4 linked regions of the Caenorhabditis elegans genome follow. The protein of the gene in region 4 interacts with the protein of the main gene of each other region in a pairwise test. Each region holds a gene or a part of one and is shown on either strand. Other genes may lie near its edges.

Evidence for each region.
Region 1: the proteins of tbx-8 (region 4) and lsy-22 interact in a two-hybrid assay, tested with the Caenorhabditis elegans proteins (one large-scale study listed by BioGRID).
Region 2: the proteins of tbx-8 (region 4) and nhr-22 interact in a two-hybrid assay, tested with the Caenorhabditis elegans proteins (one large-scale study listed by BioGRID).
Region 3: the proteins of tbx-8 (region 4) and mls-2 interact in a two-hybrid assay, tested with the Caenorhabditis elegans proteins (one large-scale study listed by BioGRID).

What each region holds. Positions count from the first base shown.
Region 1 is NC_003279.8:7,704,058-7,708,695, reverse strand, and holds lsy-22 (STI1 domain-containing protein), read left to right. Parts: upstream 1-1,646; 5' UTR 1,647-1,671; coding exon of another isoform or gene 1,672-1,734; 5' UTR 1,735-1,848; intron 1,849-2,074; 5' UTR 2,075-2,102; coding exon 2,103-2,729; intron 2,730-3,229; coding exon 3,230-3,484; 3' UTR 3,485-4,130; downstream 4,131-4,638. Other genes in the region: F27D4.12 (Photosystem II protein I), read left to right, coding at 1,672-1,734; etfa-1 (putative electron transfer flavoprotein subunit alpha, mitochondrial), read right to left, coding at 4,242-4,310, 4,357-4,467, 4,517-4,638.
Region 2 is NC_003280.10:6,445,642-6,451,587, reverse strand, and holds nhr-22 (Nuclear hormone receptor family member nhr-22), read left to right. Parts: upstream 1-1,795; 5' UTR 1,796-1,799; coding exon 1,800-2,144; intron 2,145-3,022; coding exon 3,023-3,185; intron 3,186-3,273; coding exon 3,274-3,405; intron 3,406-3,841; coding exon 3,842-4,239; intron 4,240-4,287; coding exon 4,288-4,484; intron 4,485-4,531; coding exon 4,532-4,663; intron 4,664-4,711; coding exon 4,712-4,827; intron 4,828-4,873; coding exon 4,874-5,025; intron 5,026-5,071; coding exon 5,072-5,166; intron 5,167-5,217; coding exon 5,218-5,227; 3' UTR 5,228-5,393; downstream 5,394-5,946. Other genes in the region: atg-16.2 (Autophagic-related protein 16.2), read left to right, coding at 335-425; K06A1.2 (uncharacterized protein), read right to left, coding at 5,454-5,613, 5,658-5,722, 5,767-5,842, 5,895-5,946. UniProt on the Caenorhabditis elegans protein: Orphan nuclear receptor.
Region 3 is NC_003284.9:4,758,274-4,763,439, forward strand, and holds mls-2 (Homeobox protein mls-2), read right to left. Parts: upstream 3,368-5,166; 5' UTR 3,340-3,367; coding exon 3,152-3,339; intron 3,096-3,151; coding exon 2,860-3,095; intron 2,622-2,859; exon of another isoform or gene 2,423-2,621; intron 1,547-2,422; coding exon 1,424-1,546; intron 1,371-1,423; coding exon 1,282-1,370; intron 1,236-1,281; coding exon 1,009-1,235; intron 963-1,008; coding exon 800-962; 3' UTR 531-799; downstream 1-530. UniProt on the Caenorhabditis elegans protein: Transcription factor that binds to the promoter of target genes. Regulates fate specification and/or differentiation of multiple cell types arising from the embryonic mesodermal (M) lineage and the ABp(l/r)paa precursors.
Region 4 is NC_003281.10:10,346,007-10,350,290, forward strand, and holds tbx-8 (T-box transcription factor tbx-8), read left to right. Parts: upstream 1-1,568; 5' UTR 1,569-1,577; coding exon 1,578-1,873; intron 1,874-2,255; coding exon 2,256-2,331; intron 2,332-2,386; coding exon 2,387-2,539; intron 2,540-3,172; coding exon 3,173-3,595; 3' UTR 3,596-3,734; downstream 3,735-4,284. UniProt on the Caenorhabditis elegans protein: Transcription factor. Involved in the control of early morphogenesis of the intestine, hypodermis and body-wall muscle. Involved in regulating expression of vab-7. Appears to have partially redundant function to tbx-9.

The sequences.
Region 1 (4,638 bases), on a different chromosome or scaffold from region 4:
TTGATAATAACTGATAATCACAAGACTCGATTACGTGATATTTCGCTCCTCCCTTTCCATCCATCACATATATCTTTTGAAGTCTCAGCTTCTTCTGAGCTCGAAGCTTCAAAGGCAATTAGCCGCACCTGTGGTGTCAAAATTGAAGAAACAACCAGGCATTCTCTAGGTCTAGAAGAATATAAATGTGATTGTAATCCATCTTTTCGTTCCTCTTTCTTCCTCTACTTCTCTCAATTCTTCTTCCCGCATTTTTTTGTGTGGAGGCCCCCGAGTCCTCCATCCATCAAAAGCTCACCAGTCATTTCGAGTCGAATAAAATGAGCATTTGGTGGTGGATGCAGAAGAGCCGTCTTCTTTCTCTCCTTGTGGTCGTGCGCACATAAGAAGACAAAAACCCATCGTTTTTAATCGAATACAAAAGACTCATTCTTGCACAACACTACACAAATTTATATTCATCTTCAGTATTAGAAAAGTCTTGTGGTATTGAATAAGCTCGACTTTCTGACTTTTCAATGTTTCCAAATACTTCAGCAAATTAATATCAACGAAATTTTCGCACGATTTGTAACCCCCTGGTTCAGGCGCTTTTAAATTTTTATTCATGTTCGGTATTAAACTTTGAGAGATTTGTGAGCCAGAGAGCCGCCTACCACCAATTTTTATGGCGTTTCTTTTTTCCGGGGTCTAGGCTCTGGGATCCATAACGTGCCAGAGTGCACTCTGTTTTTTAATCAGAAAATAAGTTCCGCCGTTTTCAAACGAATAAAAAAGTGAGAGGAAAAGTTTTGACACCCAATATGTTCTTCATTATCACTACTTATCAGTTGGCATTCTCTTTTACAACACTCCTCTGCGCCGATTAGACTGGCTTATTTATTACCCTTGGAAGATGGGGATGCACAATTTGCAACTTATAGATAGAAAGTTTTTGAATTTTTCACTTGGCTTTTAAAAATAAACAAGTTTGAGCTATTTTTTAATATTTGAAATTCGACTAGTTTTTCATTCAATTTCAATTTCAAAAATCATCACATCTGTATCACCCAGACGCGAAATTTTGAGATTTTTTAATCTAAAAAAACGGTTAACAGTCTCGACTTCAAACACTTTGCTGCGAAATTTTGATCGTAAAATTAAATGTAAAAAATCGATAAAATTCTGCAAAAACACACATTTGAAATTACAGTACTCATTAAAGGCACACACCTTTTCGCATATTACAATAAACTGTCGTGTCGAGACCAGGCAGCATATTTTTGTGCAAACTCCTTTGAAATTATTGTTATTACAGATTTTTTGAAATTAGTAATTTCGGAAGTCTCCAAATTCTTAAAATGTCCTTTCCTTCCTTCGTCTCCTTCTCACTTTCCCGGCGGTAATTGGTTTTGGCGTAGAACATGGCGCCGGCGCAAACACATTGACGCAAAAGTTCACAATTTAAAAGACCGTGTAAACAAGACCTCCTCCCCCTGTCCGCTCGTCTTCTCAAAGAACTTTTTTATCTTTTCCGTTGTTTTATCGCTTTTCTCATAATAAAAATAAAAATCGTCGTTGAAGAAATAAAATGGGCCCCGCCGTTGGTGTGTGTGTGCCATCACAACCATCAATTCAAACTTTGTTTTATTTCTACTTTTTTGCAGCTCATTGCTCCGTGACGGATTCAAATTGTTGTTTTTCTTCGCGACAAACAAGAAAGACTCTGGAATTGTATCGTTTTCGAATTTTTAAAATTTGGAATTTTTGATCGCCTGTCGATCAACCCCCGTCTACAATCACGTCGGACCAACGAAGATTCGCGAATCCGAACTTCTCGCATCCTAGCTCGAGTAGTTCAAGGGAAAAGTAGGTTTTTATTATATTTTAAAAGTAAAAGATTTGTTGACAAATAGTTGAAAATGGTATTCTAAAAGTTGAGAAAATTAAAAATATGAAAGGTTCACTAGAGGCATATTTTTCATTTTGAAAGTATCAAAATAAATTCAAAAACAGCGTTTAATTTCTTTTAGAAAACTAGAAATTCGAAAACTAGAAATTGGTGAATATGAACAGTATTTAATTTATATTTTAGTAGGAAACGAAGTGGATCAGCCAGCGGAATGTCACTAGCAGATCATATTGATGCAATCAAAAAAGAAATGACAAGTCTATCGAGCCAATTCAACTCGAATAAATCAGAACTTGAACGATCAAAACAGGATTTATCATCAATGCAACTACAAATGCAACAACAAATGAACGATTCAGTACAGCAGGACCTCCAGAAAGCTCATGATACATCGAAGAAATTAGATAATCTTGCAAGGACGTTTCTTGCATTAATTACTGATCCATCGCAACAATCACAATTATTAGCGGAATTTGAATCAATTTCCAAGAACGGAACACCTCAAATGCCAGTGATGACACCTCCAATGATGAATGCAGTTGCTGCAATGCAACCACATATGATGATGAGGAATCCAATGCTGAATGCAATGGGTGGAGCATCACCACGTGTTTCTGGAAAAGGTGGAGCTCCACAAAACGGTGGAATGAATGGGATGTCGATGATGCAGCACATGCAAATGCAAGCATTCCAGGCACAAATGATGCAAGCTCAAATGTTTCAGCAGATGCCGATGATGATGCCAGGGATGGTTCCTGGAATGCCACCGGGAATGGCTGGATTGCCTGGAATGATGCCACCGAATAATATGGCAGCTGCAATGCAACATTTTAATGCGGTAAGTGTTAACTATTATTCAAAATGTTGAGATTAAATTATGTTTATCGTAATTTTCTCTTAGGGGCACGGATTTATCCAGATGGGGTCGGCGGGGAAAAATCTATGATAGTTTTTTTTTTGAATTTTTACGGCATCTTCCTTGCCTTTTTAGCGAATTTTTCTGCTAAAAAACGTCTATGTTTGAAGTATAAATTTCAACAAAAAAAACTACCATAAACGTTTTGCGCACCGATCCCATCATAAAATATCCGTGAGCCTTTAATTTGAAATCTAGTGAAATTACGACAGTAAAAGTGAAATTCAAGAAAATTAATGTAGAAATACAAAGGATGTTTTAAATGTACTTTTTAGAGCAGTTTGATATTACTAGAAAACTTACTATTACTAGAAAAGATAGAAGAAATTAATATTTTTTAGCTCCTTCAGAAGATATTCCAAAAACCTCGATATCTCAATTTTCTATCCATTTCTGTACAACATATTTTCATAATCTTCCAGTTTCAGCAAATGGCCGCCGCTGCATCGGTAGCAGTTTCTACACCATCAAGGAATCCATCAACATCTGGAGCCGCTTCTCGAACACGAACTCCATTAACCACATCAGCCACGAATTCACCTCGACCCACCACAGAACCAACGATTAAAGAAGAAGAACCACAGACAATGGAACATGATGTAGCTGCTGCTGTGGCCGCAACTACTGCTACTGCAACAATCAAACAAGAAGAAAATTCGACAGTGGCGGTTGCTTGATCCTGTACCGACATATTTTAGTATTATCGATTGTGATATCTATCGATATATAGTGTAATCTCTCATCCTCTCAAAATCCTCCTTTTTCGGTGGCGGCTGACCTCTGGATCCATTTTTTCTTTTTTGAAAAATATTGTTTTTATGTTTGGCCTTTTCGCATTCTAATACAGGTCCAACTTTCCGTTTTAAATATTCGTTGTTTCTTTTTTTTTCAATCGCCGTCCATTTTAAAATGAAATTCTCATAATGTTCTCTGCTGCGTCGGACTTTTTTGTCGATCTCTTTGTTATTCCAGCCCATCAGTTTCATCATTTTTATTCTTCAAAAATTTGAGAAATCTTTCAGTTTCTTGTTCCCCCCAATCCTCCCCATTCGCTTTTTTTTGCATCCCGCAGCGGGTATCTCGTTTTGATTAATAGAAGAGTAATTTCCCAATCACAAAACCATCACCAGGAATGTTTCAAATTTTCCAGTATTTATCTATCAATTCGTCACCTCACTTGTCTCGCATTTTCTCGTTGTTTCCGTGCTTCTTGTGAATATGATATTTGATACAAAATTCTCATTTCGGTTTTCTCCAGTGTTGCTCTTCTCAATTGTTCTTTATGAATCGCGTGATAACGCTCATAAAACAGATTTGGCTGTTTATTCACATTGAAAGCATAAAAACGAAAATCACAATATCCCGATAAACCGAGTTACTAAATAGAATACAATAATTTAGAAGACACATCTACATTAGGCTATTTGAAGGTATTCATGGAAGAGCAGCAGTCAGTTCTGGGACGGCCTTGAACAAATCGGCTTTCAATCCAATATCAGCGACCTGAATTATTTAGAATTAACAATTTTGTGTTAAATTCAATTTTTACCTGGAAAATTGGTGCATCAGGATCCTTGTTGATGGCGACAATCACCTTTGAGTCCTTCATTCCAGCCAAATGTTGAATGGCTCCAGAAATTCCGATTGCAATGTAGAGTTCCTATAAATTAATTCATTTTTCTTTGCTTCTCACTTAATGGATTTCTTACCGGCGCTACAATCTTTCCAGTCTGACCGACTTGCATGTCATTTGGTACGTATCCAGCATCAACAGCGGCACGGGATGCTCCGACTCCGGCTCCGAGCTTATCAGCAAGATCATAGATGAGCT
Region 2 (5,946 bases), on a different chromosome or scaffold from region 4:
CGATTTTAGTTCCAAAGGTACAGCACCTGCCCTCGACACGATATATTTCAGTTAATTGCGAAAAGGCGTGCGCCTTTAAAGAGTACTGCGGAATTTTAATTTCTAAATCTTTCGATAAAACTACACTTAAATAAAAACTTTGAAAAAATGTAAAAAAATATGGCAGCAACAAGCGTTTAAAGTTACAGTACTCTTAAAAGATGAATATGTATTTAATAAAAAATTATCGTTTCGAGATACCGTAATTTTGAATGAAAATCGAAAACTTGGGAAATTAAATCCGCTTCCAGAGTACAATGCCCCAATTCTGCTCTCAAAAATGTTTTTTTTTCAGTTCGGCTCAAATAATGTCTCTGGCATGGAATCCGTCAGGCCGAGGTCTTCTAGCTTGTGATCGTCAGAAGACTTGTACACTCTGGAGATGATCTTCAATGTATGAAATTGAATATAATTGTACAGAATCATCATCTGTGTTATAAATGTGCATATCCATTTTTAAAAAAATAGTTTTACCCGCGTTTTTCATGTTTTCTTTCAGATTTTTCATTATGAACATTCGTTTGAAATAGAAAAAAATTGTATGATATTTATACATTTTAATTTAAACCGGTAATCCTCAAAAAATGCCTGAATATTACAAATTCTGTGTTATCACCACCTATCCCTTGTATTCTATGAACATAAAATGCACATTTTCTTATCATTTCACCTGGTTGGCTGACTGACAGTCGTTTGGAAACATTCGAGTTTTCTTAAATTTTCTATAGTTTCTGATGCTAACCTATGAAAATCAGTTCAAAATGATGACAAGAATACAGGAAATTAATAATTTCTGTTCCCGCAGCATGATGATATTTTTTGCCGATGAATAGTCCTAATTCTTCGTCATTGAAAAAAATTTGCTCCTTTCGATCTGAATTTGAAAAAAGTTTATTAAAAAAAGTATATTTCAAATATTAATGATTTCTGATTATTCTGCATTGCCAGGAAAATATTTTCATATAAACTTGTGAAAAGATGTCAATTTCTGAAAACAATTCGGCCAGTTTTCTGAAGCAGTATTTTACATATCTTCCAGGGTTCAAAAGATTAGTACTCTCAATGAGTCGCAGACAGCTTAGTTGTTTTTTCTTTCGTATTAATATACTTACATTTTCTTTTATCTCTAATTCTCTTACATCCACCTTTTCCGCAATCTCTGCCACTGTCGGCGATCTCTTGTTCTCGCACGTTTCTCTCTAATTCTATAACGAACGTAAATCTTTATTCTCTCTATTATTTTTATATATATTTGTGTGAAATATTCAAAACTTGAGTATTTAAATTTTTTGAAAAACCATAAGTTCAATGTGATAATTTGAAATTTTCCCATCACGTTTTCGATTAGACAGAATGAAGTTTCCGTTCCAGTGACTATAAATAGGCGAAATTTAATTGAAAATAGTTTTGCATTATTTTCAAACCACAGACTTTTTATTCATACATATATTTGAAAATATTAATTCAGTGAATTGCAAATTTAAAACTCACATTTCTTTAAAATTAATGAATCAATTTTCTATCTCTTGCCGTAACAAATAAATAAATCCATATATTAATATCTTCTCCCCTTTGTCCAGCCAATTTCTCATCTCCTCCAATTAGCCTCTTCCCACCTTTCTCTCTTCTTCATTTTCCCCCAATTCTGTTCTTATCAGTACTAACCTTGTTCGGTCCTTTCTCTCTCTAACCTCTCTCTTCTCTTTTTCTTACTCTCTACCATTGCCGCACACCTCCATTCATTTTCACTTTAATCAAATATGTCTACGGACCTTCTCTATGAATATTTCTATCCACCTACCGATTTATTCAAAAATACTTTTGAAGACGTACCACCATCTCCTGAGTCTCTGGACGTTGGTGATTCGTTAGGATCATCTCCATCTTACGATCTTGGATTCCAACCATCATTCGATATTGACTTCTGCATTTGGAAAGAGGGATCTTCATCACCTCCACCGGAATCGAATCATCTCCCAGAGATTGTAAATAAAGCTTCAACATCTCCACGTGGAATGCCATCTCCATTAACTGACAGTCGAAGTTGTCATGTCTGTTCATCTCCCACTGCCAATACTCTACATTTTGGAGGTCGTTCTTGTAAGGTAAGCAATATGATCAAGAAAAAAATATTTCTCGTATCAATTATTAATTAGCACTACTCCGAAAAAATGAACATTTTTTGTTTTTACAAGTGTTGTACTTTCGTTGTTGTTGTACAATATACATTTTTTGTTTTCTGGATAACAATTGAATTTGCATCGGACATTATTACCCAGGCCCACGGTATCCTGCCTCAGCGCAACATATTTTTGTTAAATTCGAAACGTTGTGCGTCTTTGAAGAGTACTGTAATTTCAAACTTTTATCATATTTTTTATCATTCAAACTCGTAAAATCAACATTTCTAGACTTGAATTTTTGTTCTAAAAACACCGATAAACCGTTGGTTTCATTAGTGATAATTGTGAAAAAAGGTCCTAAAGTATTTTAAGGCGTAATAATATAACTATGCTTTGAAAATGTGCCAAAATTTGTAACATGCTCGCCACGTGTTTTTATTGTTATCCTGTGTTATCTAGAAGTGTATTGTAGTCAGGTATTTTCTTTTTCCGTCTGCGTATTTCGACGAAACATCACTTATTTTTGTGGCCATTTGTGGTATGTGTCTCACACTATTTGTTTTTGTAGTCTTAAGTGTAGCTAGAATGACAATAGAAGATCTTCATCTGATCGGATGTTTGAACACACCACAGTACAGTTCCTGTTTAGAAACTAGCTCCTTTTGACCAAGTTTTGTATGATAATCTTACTGAAAACCACGAACAAATAGAAAAAGTTGTTGATAACGTACATCACACTTTGCATGCTTTATGTTTAAATAAAGAGAAAATGAAAAGTACAATTTGCATCACTAATACCTCCGGAAACATGTTTCTCACAATTTAATTGGAATAAATTTAATAAATGAGCATATTTTCAGGCATGTGCAGCATTTTTCCGAAGAAGTGTTTCAATGTCAATGACTTACGAATGCATTGGCACTGGAGATGACACAAATCCGTGTAGAACCCATTACGAGCTCAGAATGATATGCCGTCACTGTCGGTTCATCAAATGTTTAGATGCCGGAATGCGCAGAGAACGTGAGTGATCATTGACAAGGTCATTTGTCACATGTTCAATTGGCCAAAAAGTCCGAGGTACAAAAAACAGTAATTTGTTGTTTTGCAGTGGTGCAAGCGAGAAAAGAAGAGACGAGAGTTGCAAAACGACGTTCCAAGGGATTGGTTGTATCGAAAAAGGAAGATGACGATGTTGAATCTTCGTATGATGAGTATGTAAATACATATACAAATGTTCAAGGTTAGTTTCTAATTTATTTCGAAAATATTTTTGAAGCCCTCGACTGGGAAATTTTTTAAACCCTCTCCTATGGTAATAAAATTCCTAAGTATAACAGTTTAACGTTTCAAAAAATTTTTTAAATTTTTTAGTTACCGTCAAAAGTGGGCAAAACTCAGTTTTCATCTATCACAGTTTTTGGAAGTTGACCAAAAAAAATATTTATCTACAAGTCCTTTTTTTTACAGCGTTTTAATTGTTTTAATTGGAAAAATTCCAGGGTTCCAACTTGTAACAATTTCTACAATTTTTTGAAAATTTGGCAATTCACCAAAACTGAGGTTTTTTAAACTCTTAATCTTTTTGGAAAGTTTTTATGAGATTCGGTTATGTTAGAGTATTATAAGTGTATCTATCCCGACTGACGATACTTTAATAATACCATTTGTTGTTTCAGATTCGAGCCCGAAAATGGAATCAGGGATTAATGAAATGACGATTCCTGAGTCATACCTTTCACCGGATCCTTCATCTTCTCAACCACTTGATATGACAGTAACACCTCCACCACTGCACCGTTCAACTCCATCCATACTTCTTACTCCAGCAACTGGTGACCGTATGCACTGTCAACGTGTGCTTTCCAATTCTCCTCCATTCGATATACACCAGGCAAGCACCAGCCATGCAGGATTTATTCAACATGTACAGTTCTACCCAGTCGTTGAAGTTGAAAATAAAATTTTCGAATTAGTTGATCATTATGTAAGAACAGAAGCTTCATTGAATGATCGAAGGAAAATAATGTACACGGATACTCAGATAAGAGATGTTTTCGATACAACTTGTGAATGTGTGAGTTTTCAATGCACCATATCCATTTCTCACAATATTCTCTTTCAGCCCTACGAAAATCATCAGCTGAAACCTTTCAACTATAAATCATTTTGCGGATTTGTAAAGCACGACTTTGTTATGATTCTTGATTACGTGAATCAATTTCCGGAGTTTCAAGCTTTACACAAAAATGACAAAAATGTGGTCTATCGAATGGCTTGCGCCGTAGATTCAATGCTTGCATCTGCCTATTATAGCTATAAGTGAGTATTTAATGTTCAAAAATTAGATTCAGTCAGTTTTTCTACAGAGTTGGAATAGAAAAAGAACGTCTAATACTTTTCAATGGTGACTATATCAATATGAATCCGATTCCAATAAGTGGAGATGAGCCAGGCGCGGGAACAGAGTTTCAAACCCCGCAAGAACATGAAAAGTACAAGTGAGTTTGCTAAACTTTTTTAAATCTCAGTAAATTGTTATCTTGCAGAACCCTAATGCCACTGAAGCTAAAACAATATTTCGATCTGGCAATTCCGTTCGCTCGACTAGAAGTCTCATTTGAAGAATACGTACTTCTGAAAGCTCTCATAATTTGGCAAATCAGTAAGTAAATAATATCTACAGTAAAGTTTTAAAATTCTCGTTTCAGGTAACTATCGGTTACTAGAGGAGGGACGAGCAATTTGTGCACGGCAACGAGACACAATAGTTCAAGCCTTGCATAAAGTAGTTGAAGAACGAGGTGATGAGGATCCAGCTATTCGAGTTGGTCAGCTTCTTCTGAGCATGAGCTATATAACGGTTGGTTCCATCATCAATTTGTTATGAAAAATTAAATGAGTTTCAGGAGCAAGTACAAGCAATGACAAACTCTTACCTTGTAATGACTTTCTTTGATGTTGTATCCTGTGATAGTATAATGTACGACTTACTATCTTTCAGGTAACAAAATTCTAATAATTTCAAAGTTTAAATGTTATCAAATTATTTCAGAGACGACTGAAACAACCATCGTGAAGGTTCTACTTCATTCATCTGACTTTTAACGACTATTAACTTACATAGCTTTATCGCGTAGCTTTTGTATTTAAAATTGTGACATTTTGTTTATATTCTGTGATTTTCTTTTTTTGCCATATTCGTTCAAACTCTCAATTCAGATCTTTCAAAACATGTGTAAAATTGAACTCATTTCAGTTGTATTGATATACATTTAATAATTAAAAAATTTATTCAACACTTGACACATGACTAGGGCTATAAGAAGTCACCGAATCATCCACATAAACCGGAAGAACGAAATATTGCCAATGCGATTGTGGAACCAAATATGGTTTGCTCCAAAGACGTTGCAAGTCACCCGTTGGTGGAGTCGAGTCAAGAGGAAACCTGAAATAGAATGGATTAGAGATTATTGAGAACTATGAATTCACCATTCAATAAGAATATTGTGATTCAACGTTGGAGATTCAGCTCTAGTACATTGCTCGACTTCTATCTGAAATTTCGACTGTTTTTGGTAGCTCTAGATGTAGTTTTCACCGAAATTTCTTTGCCGGGAGGAATCAAAAACTTCGATGGATACAACTTGTAGAAGCCAGTGGTTGACAACAGAGCTCTACAAAAAATGAACTGTATTTAAAATAACCAGAATAATTTTCGCTGCAGACCTCAACGCCAACCAATCATTGTTCCTATTGTTCTTCACATTCAATATAGACA
Region 3 (5,166 bases), on a different chromosome or scaffold from region 4:
GAATTTTTTTCGTAATTTTTGAAATTTCTAGAAATTTTTTTTGGAGTTCTTCAAAACAGTTCTTCAAAAATTTCTCGAGCGTTTTTGTACTGTTTAAGACAGAGATTTCTAATACTTTTGACTCTCCAATATTATTTCAAAGCATAACAACTTACTTTTTTCAAAGTTGCCTACTGAACACCTACACTACACTACCCTAATTCATTCTACTAATTTTAACCATTAACCTTTCAAAACACAACAAAAACTCTTTAAAAAAACAGATACTACATACAAAGGAGACAAACTATTATTTTATATCCAAGTAATACAATTCAAATTTTTGGAAATTTTGTAAGTTTTCGTTCTTCAAGCAGAATAAAAGTTTTCTGATATTTCTGCAGTTGATGGAATTTGAACATTTGTTTTGAAATTTCATCTTAAATATTAGTATATGTATGTATGTGAAAAGAGTAGCTTTGCTACCATCATAATCTGTTGGAAAATGGTCTTTTACACATCAAAAAGTTTCTATCATTTTTGTATTGTATGTATTCATAATGTAAATTTATTACTCAATAAATAATTATTTAGTGAAAGAGAAAGGATTGATGAACTGAATTATCATGTGCTCGAAGATAGTTTATAAAATACACAGAATGACACATAATAAACATATAGGGTATGAAAAATAAAATATATACGAAGGGCGATGAATCAAAAATCAAGTGTGAAGAGATAGAGTCAGTGATGAGATGAAAAATGTGTTGAGGTTGAGTTGAATTGCACAGGGGGTGAGTCTAAATTAGTAATAAGGTGTTCACATGTTCTGCGCTTGAGCCGACGCATTCAAGTTTTGCTGTGCCTGAAGTGTACCAAAACCGAAAAGAAACCGCGCGGCGGCAGTTGCAGAAGCATCCATTGGAGATGAAATCATATTTCTCATGTTCACACCAGCACTGGTCGTTGGGATCGTAAGGATTCTGAAATATAAAATTTAGAATTAATTTCATGAAACAGTAAACTCACGGAGATGTAAGAGCTGTGGTTGCTGGAATCGAAAACACATTAGCTCTATGCATCTGCAGGGAAATGTTCGTGTCATCAGTCTGAGCTTGTCTCTTGAACTTGTTTCGTCGATTTTGGAACCAAATTTTCACTTGGGTCTCCGTCAAGTGCAGCTTCTGTGCTAAATTTGATCTCTCTTGACTGCTCAAATATCTTTTGCATTCGAACATCATTTCCAATTGGGACACCTGAATGAAAGTATTATTTGAGTTCGGAATGTACAATTTCTGATACCTGACTCCTGCTGAAGACGGTTCTGGTTTTCTTCTTTCTATTTTGTGATGGATCGCTAGAGTTGGCTTCATCATCGCTTCCACGGCCAACTGAAATACAGTTTATGGACACTTTTGTGGACACATTTTTAAATTCAACTCACTATCATCGTCATCTTCTGCGTCAGACTCCAGCGGGCTGCCACCAGTGGAATCCCTGGTCTCCCCATCTTTTCCCTCCGATTTTTCATCCTTCTCTTCTCCATTGTCTGATTGAATATTAACATCTGTAAGGAAACACATTTTCAACAATTACTTAATTCCTGACAGGCATATTAACCATATTGCATTAAGATACTTCCATTGACAGGCCACAATTATAACACATCCCCCCGTGGTCCATCGGTTAATTATCTCAATGGACGGGGGATTACTAGGACACGGGTGTCGGTCAAAATGACACCTTTATAAATAGATGTCTCTATATTAAGAACTACCTTTAGTTTTCAATACTGATTCTTCGTTGACTAATTAGAATCTCTTAAAAACCGAAGTGTAGCCGCTTACGTTACGAATATTGACGACTAAAAATGTGCGCTCATGCGTATGCCTGATTTTTCATGCGAAATGGAAAAGGCTCATTAGAATAAGAGATTTCTATTGCTGTTTTGATCATTTCACATGTTATCAAAAACAAATCAGTGGCAAAACCACATGTATCAACAGAGTCAGCGTAATAAAACAGCGTGATGATGTTATTTTACAATACGCTGATTTGCTTTGCCAAATCAACTGAGCGGAAAACTTAATGGCTTAAAGTTGGACCTGTGAGGGGAAATAATTAATCAGCATTTTTGTAATGTTAAAATGGCTTAATATCAAAATAAAACTGTTTTTAAAAAAATTTTGAGCCAAAAATTAGGTAAAAGCGGACTATGAGTTTTCAATGTTCTTTGACTAAAAATAAATTTTATTTAAAACATTTTTGAAATGTTTTAGTATGACATTTGGTAATTCCCTACAGGCCACATTTCATTATTAAAAACTTTGAATCTGAAAAAAAAAGTTGTTTCTCTATAATTTTTAATTGAATGTATTTATTTTTAGAATCAAAATAAAAGTCAAGGACCTGACACGCGTCACCGAGCTCATGGGGTTTAGTATTCTCACGTTATTAACTTATTGCTGTTTGAGCACATCCTTTCAAGAATCAATGAATACCGCGTGTGGTGTTACCCAACAAAAGATAATTAGTTGAGTTCAACACAGGCGAGCGATTCTGATTCTTATCCTAAGAAAGGAACTGCATCCGCCGACAACCTCCCCCCTCCTTTTTCCATATGTTCATCCAATACCGTTGTTCAACTTGTTAATGAGTCCAGACTTGGCTAATTCGAGACCATACAATAACAATGGGTCAGAAAATGAATTAGTTACTGTATTAAGGGGTGTTCTGAGATTCGGAGAATAAAGAGAACCGACCGAAAATTATAGTGGTAAACGGAACACTGTTTTGAATGAAATGAAATATGGTAGGATTCTTTCACACATTAACTAATGACAGACTAAGGAGAGAGGAAGTTGGGTAATATCTACTGACCTGGGTTGCTCATGTTTTTGAAGTGCATTAGTTGAGCAGTCGGAAGTCCAAAGAATGGGAACATGGTAAGTGGTGAGATCATGTTTTGTTGATTGCCGACGTTCAAGAAAGTTTGCTGAAGTTGCAGGAGGGCAGAAATCGGATTCATTTTTGGATCAAAATTGAAATTAAACGCCGTTTGCTCAATTTCATTGGTGCTATCCTCTGAAGATGCCGACGGGGAACTTTGTGTAGTTCTGAAAGTTTAATTTTATACAAATAAAAGGAAAATAAATGAAAATGTTCAACTTACGGTTTTCTGTCATCTTCCAGCAACTCAGAAATATTGAATTTAATCTTATTATCTGAACTTGGCTTCATCTCTTCTTCCTCTTCTTCCTCCATCAGTTCAATCTTTGGAAGTTGTGACATTTTTTCGAGACGTTCTTGCGAGCTCATTGTCGTCATATCAATAGGGAGATTCATAACTGAAGTCGGCATGTTTGAGAAAAATAGAGTCAACTGAGGGCTAATCGAGAATACTAATGAGTAGCCCCGCCCCACCATTCAAGACTACGGTAGCTGGGCGAGCGTTCGCGGATAAATGGGGTGTAGGAAATGGGAAGGAGAGGAGTAATAATGAAATGATGACCAAGTCAAATTATTGTCTTTGGTAGTGTTAAGAAAACGGATATCAAAACTATATAAACAATGGTTGACCAATAGGAAAACGACTATGAATACAGTTGAGAGAAGTTTAGCAGAATCTGAGGATCTCGAAGAACTCCCTGCTTGCTTTTCCGCTAATGTGTTAAGTGATCAAGCAAAACAGAGATGTTTCTAGGCAATACGCCCTGTCCAACTTAATGTCTAATTCGTTTAAGTGGATTACTATGTTTGGTTAACACCATTAATCACAACAATTAACCGTTTTTTTTCCGCTGAGCGACTCTATCAATTGTTTCAAAATTGATGATCAATTGATTTTGTAATGTAGGTTCAATGTATATTCCAACGAGAATGCCAAAAAGCTAATCAGTTATGCTTTAAGCAAAACATTATTAATTTAAATATGAAATTCGAGATGTTAGTGGATCGTTGTTGCTATGCGAACGCACGGGTCAAGCAGCAGCTTATCCGCGGTTAGTGTCGAATTCGGAGTGCAAAAGGTAATAATGAGGAATGATGGAAACAGGAGAGATATCTAATATAGGCTCGATGAGCAAAACACTCAGGATCATTGTTCACTTGAAATGTGTTCGAATACCGTAACTCCTTGAATAGTACTGTACCACACTATTTGAAACGTTATATCTGTGTTCAGTATCAAAGATAAGAAACTACAAACCGCTAAAAAAAATTGACAAGTACTTTGTTCGTGTTAAGCTGGTAAAGATGGAAACTGGGTTGAAATCCTAATAGGGAAAATACGGTAAATGGTTTGATATTTTGATGTACAGGAAGTTGAAAAGAGTACTGCCAATATTGTGATGACATCTTTTAAACTACTTTTTTCCATACTTTCCAAAAAAATCATTTTTGGCTGAAAAAAGAACACTCGTATTACTGTTAATTTTCAGAATGGGGGTTTAATTTACAAATGAAAATTTTAGACGAGATTTCTGATACCTTAGAGAACCCATGCAAAACTGAGGGAAAAGAGATGAATCAAGAGTCGATGGAAGTGAATCGGAAACTATCACATGAAGTCTTATGAAGCTTGAAAAAAAGTTCGAAGCAAACAAGTAATCACGAAATGTGTTTTTTTTCCTGATTAACCCTTGAGAGTCCAATGACGAACATTTGAAAAAAAAATCAAGTTTTAGTTTTGATCAAACGCAAAATAAAACGAGTTGAGGTGAGCACAGCCGTATTGAATGAACGTCCACAGCTCCACCCACTTCCATGATATACGGTAATTGGGACCCAAGACGCTTACCCGCCCGCTCTCATGTGTTTGTGTGCGCGCTCGTTTGGTTTCAAATAGGGAGGGGGGAGAAAATAATTCAACACAATCTCATTAAAACCGGTAATAGTAAAATAAGGCGACGACGTATTTGTACAGAATAATATGGTCGAGGAAAAACATGCACACACGTAATGGCTGATAGTAGTGGCGTTCATAGAAATGAGCTGAAAATGAGCAGAAATGAAATGAAAGATGAGGATGAGAATGAGAAAATGGAATTGATATTTTCCACATTATTTCCCATTATTCTCTTAGAGGTTTTGTTATGTAAAACATCACAAAATGGATTTAATACGACGACTCACAACGTTCTCAAGCCAATGTGCAACACTGTAGAAGGTGTGAAATGTTGGTGTCTG
Region 4 (4,284 bases):
TTTGAAATCCTGTAAAACATCTCTGAAGCTATTAAATTTTTGCAATTTAAGCTATTAAAATGTTGACCCAAAACTCCCTCCAAAGTTCCCAAAAACTATAACATGTCAAGTACATAAAATGTCCTTCCCTATCCATAACCTAATGATCACCTGTCAATTCTAGTTACCTAACAACATAAAACGCGTACCGCTCTTTCTCCTCCACCCAACAGTGCGCCAGACGGATCCCTTTACAACTCTCTGGTTGGTGATGATGTAATTTGGAGCCGCCGGCTCACCGCAATACTGTCGGAGCACAAAATTCAGGAAAATGATCCTGATTGAGAACATGGTGCATGCATTAACAGATAATTTGTTTTTGAAGGGAAAATCAATAATTATCTGGAGATTAGATATCTTGTTTTTAGAGATAGTTGTAAACAATGGCAAATTGTAAAACCACTTTAGATGAACCTGGAACTTTCGGGAAATCTGGCAACCGAGCTACAAACTACAAACTACAGAAAATCAATCTACAAATGTTTTTTTCAGTCAAGAACCGAGATATCAGTTGCACATGGTGCATCGAACACTAACAAGATTAATCAAAATTTGTCACGTCCAGTATATCCGTAGTAAAAGTGAGAATTAACCTCAATGATTTATCATCCTGCCCGTGTCCTTCTTCCCGTTTATCAATATTACCGTAGTGGTGATGGTGGTGGGGGCATCGAATATCGTCGTAAAATCGTCGTTAAACAAATTTTATGAACTCTATATACAAATCAAGCGTGTTATTATTGTTTGGTAGAAAGATTGGAAAACGATAAAGAGAGGTGAACAGGTTTCCTAAAATATCCCCCCGGAGATTCATTTCTAGCAAGTATTTGGAGAAAGATGAAGAGGGACTGCACAATATTTAAATCGTTGAACCAATAAAATAATAATCACAAACTTGGAGCATTTGGAGCATTCGATGACGATTTTCTAGAAACTGGGGAAGTTATGAGGTTTTTGGATTACATTTTTGATTGGAGTATCATGAACATTTTTTAGAACTCCTTAATAATAATTCTTCAAACGACAAAGAAGTTTCAACCAAAAAATTTGTCAAAAAGTGTTTCTAACAGAAATGAAAGTATGTAGAGAGAAAGTTGGGATAAAGTAGGTTGAGAAGTATCCCACATATCTCAAAAAATATTTGGTTTATCAAAAAGTTGTCAACTGACAAATAGTCGAGCAAAATGTCAATTGAAAATTCCCTCGTATTATTGATTTTTGGGAAGTTACAGCTGTTCAAACTTTTAATTTTGTCTATTTTCACCTTTGAAACTTATTCCTTCACACAATTCCCCTTTTTAGCATCCCGCCAAACATCGAAAAACCACGCCTACCAGTGTTATCGCTACCGTACCCCGCGGTCCGCCTTCGGGAAGGCAGGAGTGGGGCCGTGGCATCCAGGTGAGACCCCAGGCTCACTCTCAGCCACCAATCTGTTTAGTATTCACTTTTACGCGAATTTTCCAATTTACCAATATTTCAGTTTTTGCCCGTTTTGATTGAATCCTTATTATAATATGAAATTCCAGAGAAAAACCATGACAGATCAAGTGTATGTGACACTTCGAGAAGATCAGGATAAGCTGTGGAACCTCTTCCATTATCATAAAAACGAGATGATTGTCACAAAATCCGGCAGGAAAATGTTCCCGAAGCTTGAGTATGTGGTCAGAGGTCTCACGCCGAACAAGCTCTACGCTATGATGCTTCATATTGAGCCATCCGACGATCATCGGTACAAGTTCAGCAGTGGAGAATGGGTCAAGTCGGGAAAAGCCGAAAAGCACAGGGAGCCAAAGAAGTTGTGGCATGCGGATGGAGTTAGAAGTGGAAAGTGAGTTTTTTTTTGGAATGCTTTGTTAGTTGATCTTTTATTAGATAGCGCAGTCAGGGTTGGAGTACCTATTTTTCAGCAGGGAATCAGAAAATAATTTCAATTTAGAACTGTAATATCTCAAAGGAAAATAAAAATACAATAGTTGCTTACTGATGAAATGTTTATTATAAAATTTTCTACAGTTTTCCAATTGACAACTTTTTTGTAATGACTGTTTCAAGCAAGTTATAACTACTTAAAAATGTAACACATCGCCAACTTGAGCATGTTAACTTCAAACTGTTATAAAACTACGGGCGGTTTAAATATCAAATATCAAATCCTTTTCAAATAAATTATCTGATTTTCTGTATATCTCCCTATAGTAACTTTTTTCCAGAGAATGGATGACCAACCCAGTTTGCTTCGATCGTGTAAAAATCACAAATTGCGCTGAATCTACAAATGCATCAATGGTAACAGCCATAATTCTTTTCTCCTTCAACCTCAGCATTTCCCAATTTCTTCCAGATTTTCCTTCACAGCATGCACAAATACACACCAGTAATGTCAATCTACGAGTCCCCATCGGAGAGCCCATTCAGCGTCCCACAACCATCGACCCGTCTTGTCACTTCTGTTCGACTCACTTATACCGAATTTATTGCAGTTACAGCGTACCAGGTAACACTTGTTTGGGATCTAGATAACTTTGCCTATTGAGCCCGCATTAACACTTGCATTAACACGTGTGGCTCTCTATGAGCCACATCTTCTGAAGGGTGCGAACACTAATTGTTTGAGGGGTATTGTTTTGGGTTTTCTGTGAAGTGAAAGGGTTTGACACAAAACAAATAGAAGAAAAGGATATTTAAATAATTGTTGCAATTTTTTATTAGAAATTAAAGTAAAATGGGTAAATATATTAATATAAATTTTTAGTCTCATTCTTGATTTATTAAGATTTCCTCAAAAACCGTAAGAGAGCTATCATGAAATTTTTGACCTATAAAATGATGTATACTTTTCAAATCTGAAATAACTTTTCTCTTAATTGAAAATATTGAAAAAACACTCAAAAATTGTCTGAAAGCTGAAAATAGCTTGAAAAAAGTTTTGATAGTTTGCCGGCAGTTTTTTACCGTTTTTCCGATTGTTGCAACTGTCTCAGGCGGTTTTAAAGACCAACAGCAAATAATTAACTGCATTATTTAATCTACAATTTTTTATTTTCTTGAAAACAGCGAGGCATCTCAGAAAGTTGTCTTTTTTCCATGGCTCAATCAAAATGTAACTCTTAAATTCAAAAACTTCCAGAACGACGCAGTAATCAAGCTGAAAATCAAGTTCAACCCATTTGCCAAAGGATTCCGAGAGGGAAGCCAATCAGACAGAAAACGAAATTCTCCATCCGCCGACGACTCTACAACAGATGAAAGCTCATCTCAAGTCTCTTCTCCTCAGCCAAAAAAGTCACGAACCGTGTCAGTATCACCTCCATTGATGCCACGGATCCTTCCAACAATGATTCCACCACCACCAGCCATCAATCCCCTTTTCTACAGTCTCCCCTACTTTTCCCATTTGGCAGCCACCGGGAACTTCCCGCCTGTACCATTCCAATTCCCATTTGGACTTCCATGCTTCTCCCCAATGTCATTTCCAACACCTCCGCCATCTTTGAAAAATGTCAAGAAAGAAGAGCAAGAGGATATTGAGCAGGAAATCAATGTAGTTTAATTGCAAAATTTAATTATTAATTTTAAATTGTTATACTTTAGTTCGGGTCACATGATCACTTTTTCTGTTAATTTTTTCTGCATAGAAGATTTTTTGTTTCTGAATTTGGACATAATCAAATAAATTTTATACGGTGTAATTATCTTCCAGACAAGTAGGCAGGCAGGCAAAAATGCTCTTCTGCGGGCATTCACAAAAAATAGGTCTTCTATTGCCCATGCCAATTTTTTGAAAAAATAACTTTAACTTTAAAAACCAGTTTTTTTGCGGCCTTTAAAATTGAGCAATTTTTCCTTTAAAAAATTTCCAAAAAACACCATGGCCGAATTTGTATTTTTCGCGGCCACGAGACTTCAATTTTTCATGGCAATGTTTTAAGAAACTTTTATGGTTTTTACAGTTTAAATTTTTTCCACCATAGAGCATAACTTGCCACGTGGCCGAAAAAAAACGGTGGCGGAGTTTCTTCAATTGGTTCTTTCTGCCACCAAGACTAAATGCGGGGCCGAGGTTTCACACGTTCTAGGCCACGCAATTTCTTTTTTGAACTGTTTTTCTTCTTTCCGTTCCTTCAATTTTCTCCGTTATGGCCTAGACTTTCTTGTGAAAAACTATAGTTCTTTCAATTTTGAAATTGCGAAAAATCGGCAAAGTCGACCTGCTCAATATGATGACGTGGAAGATTCTGC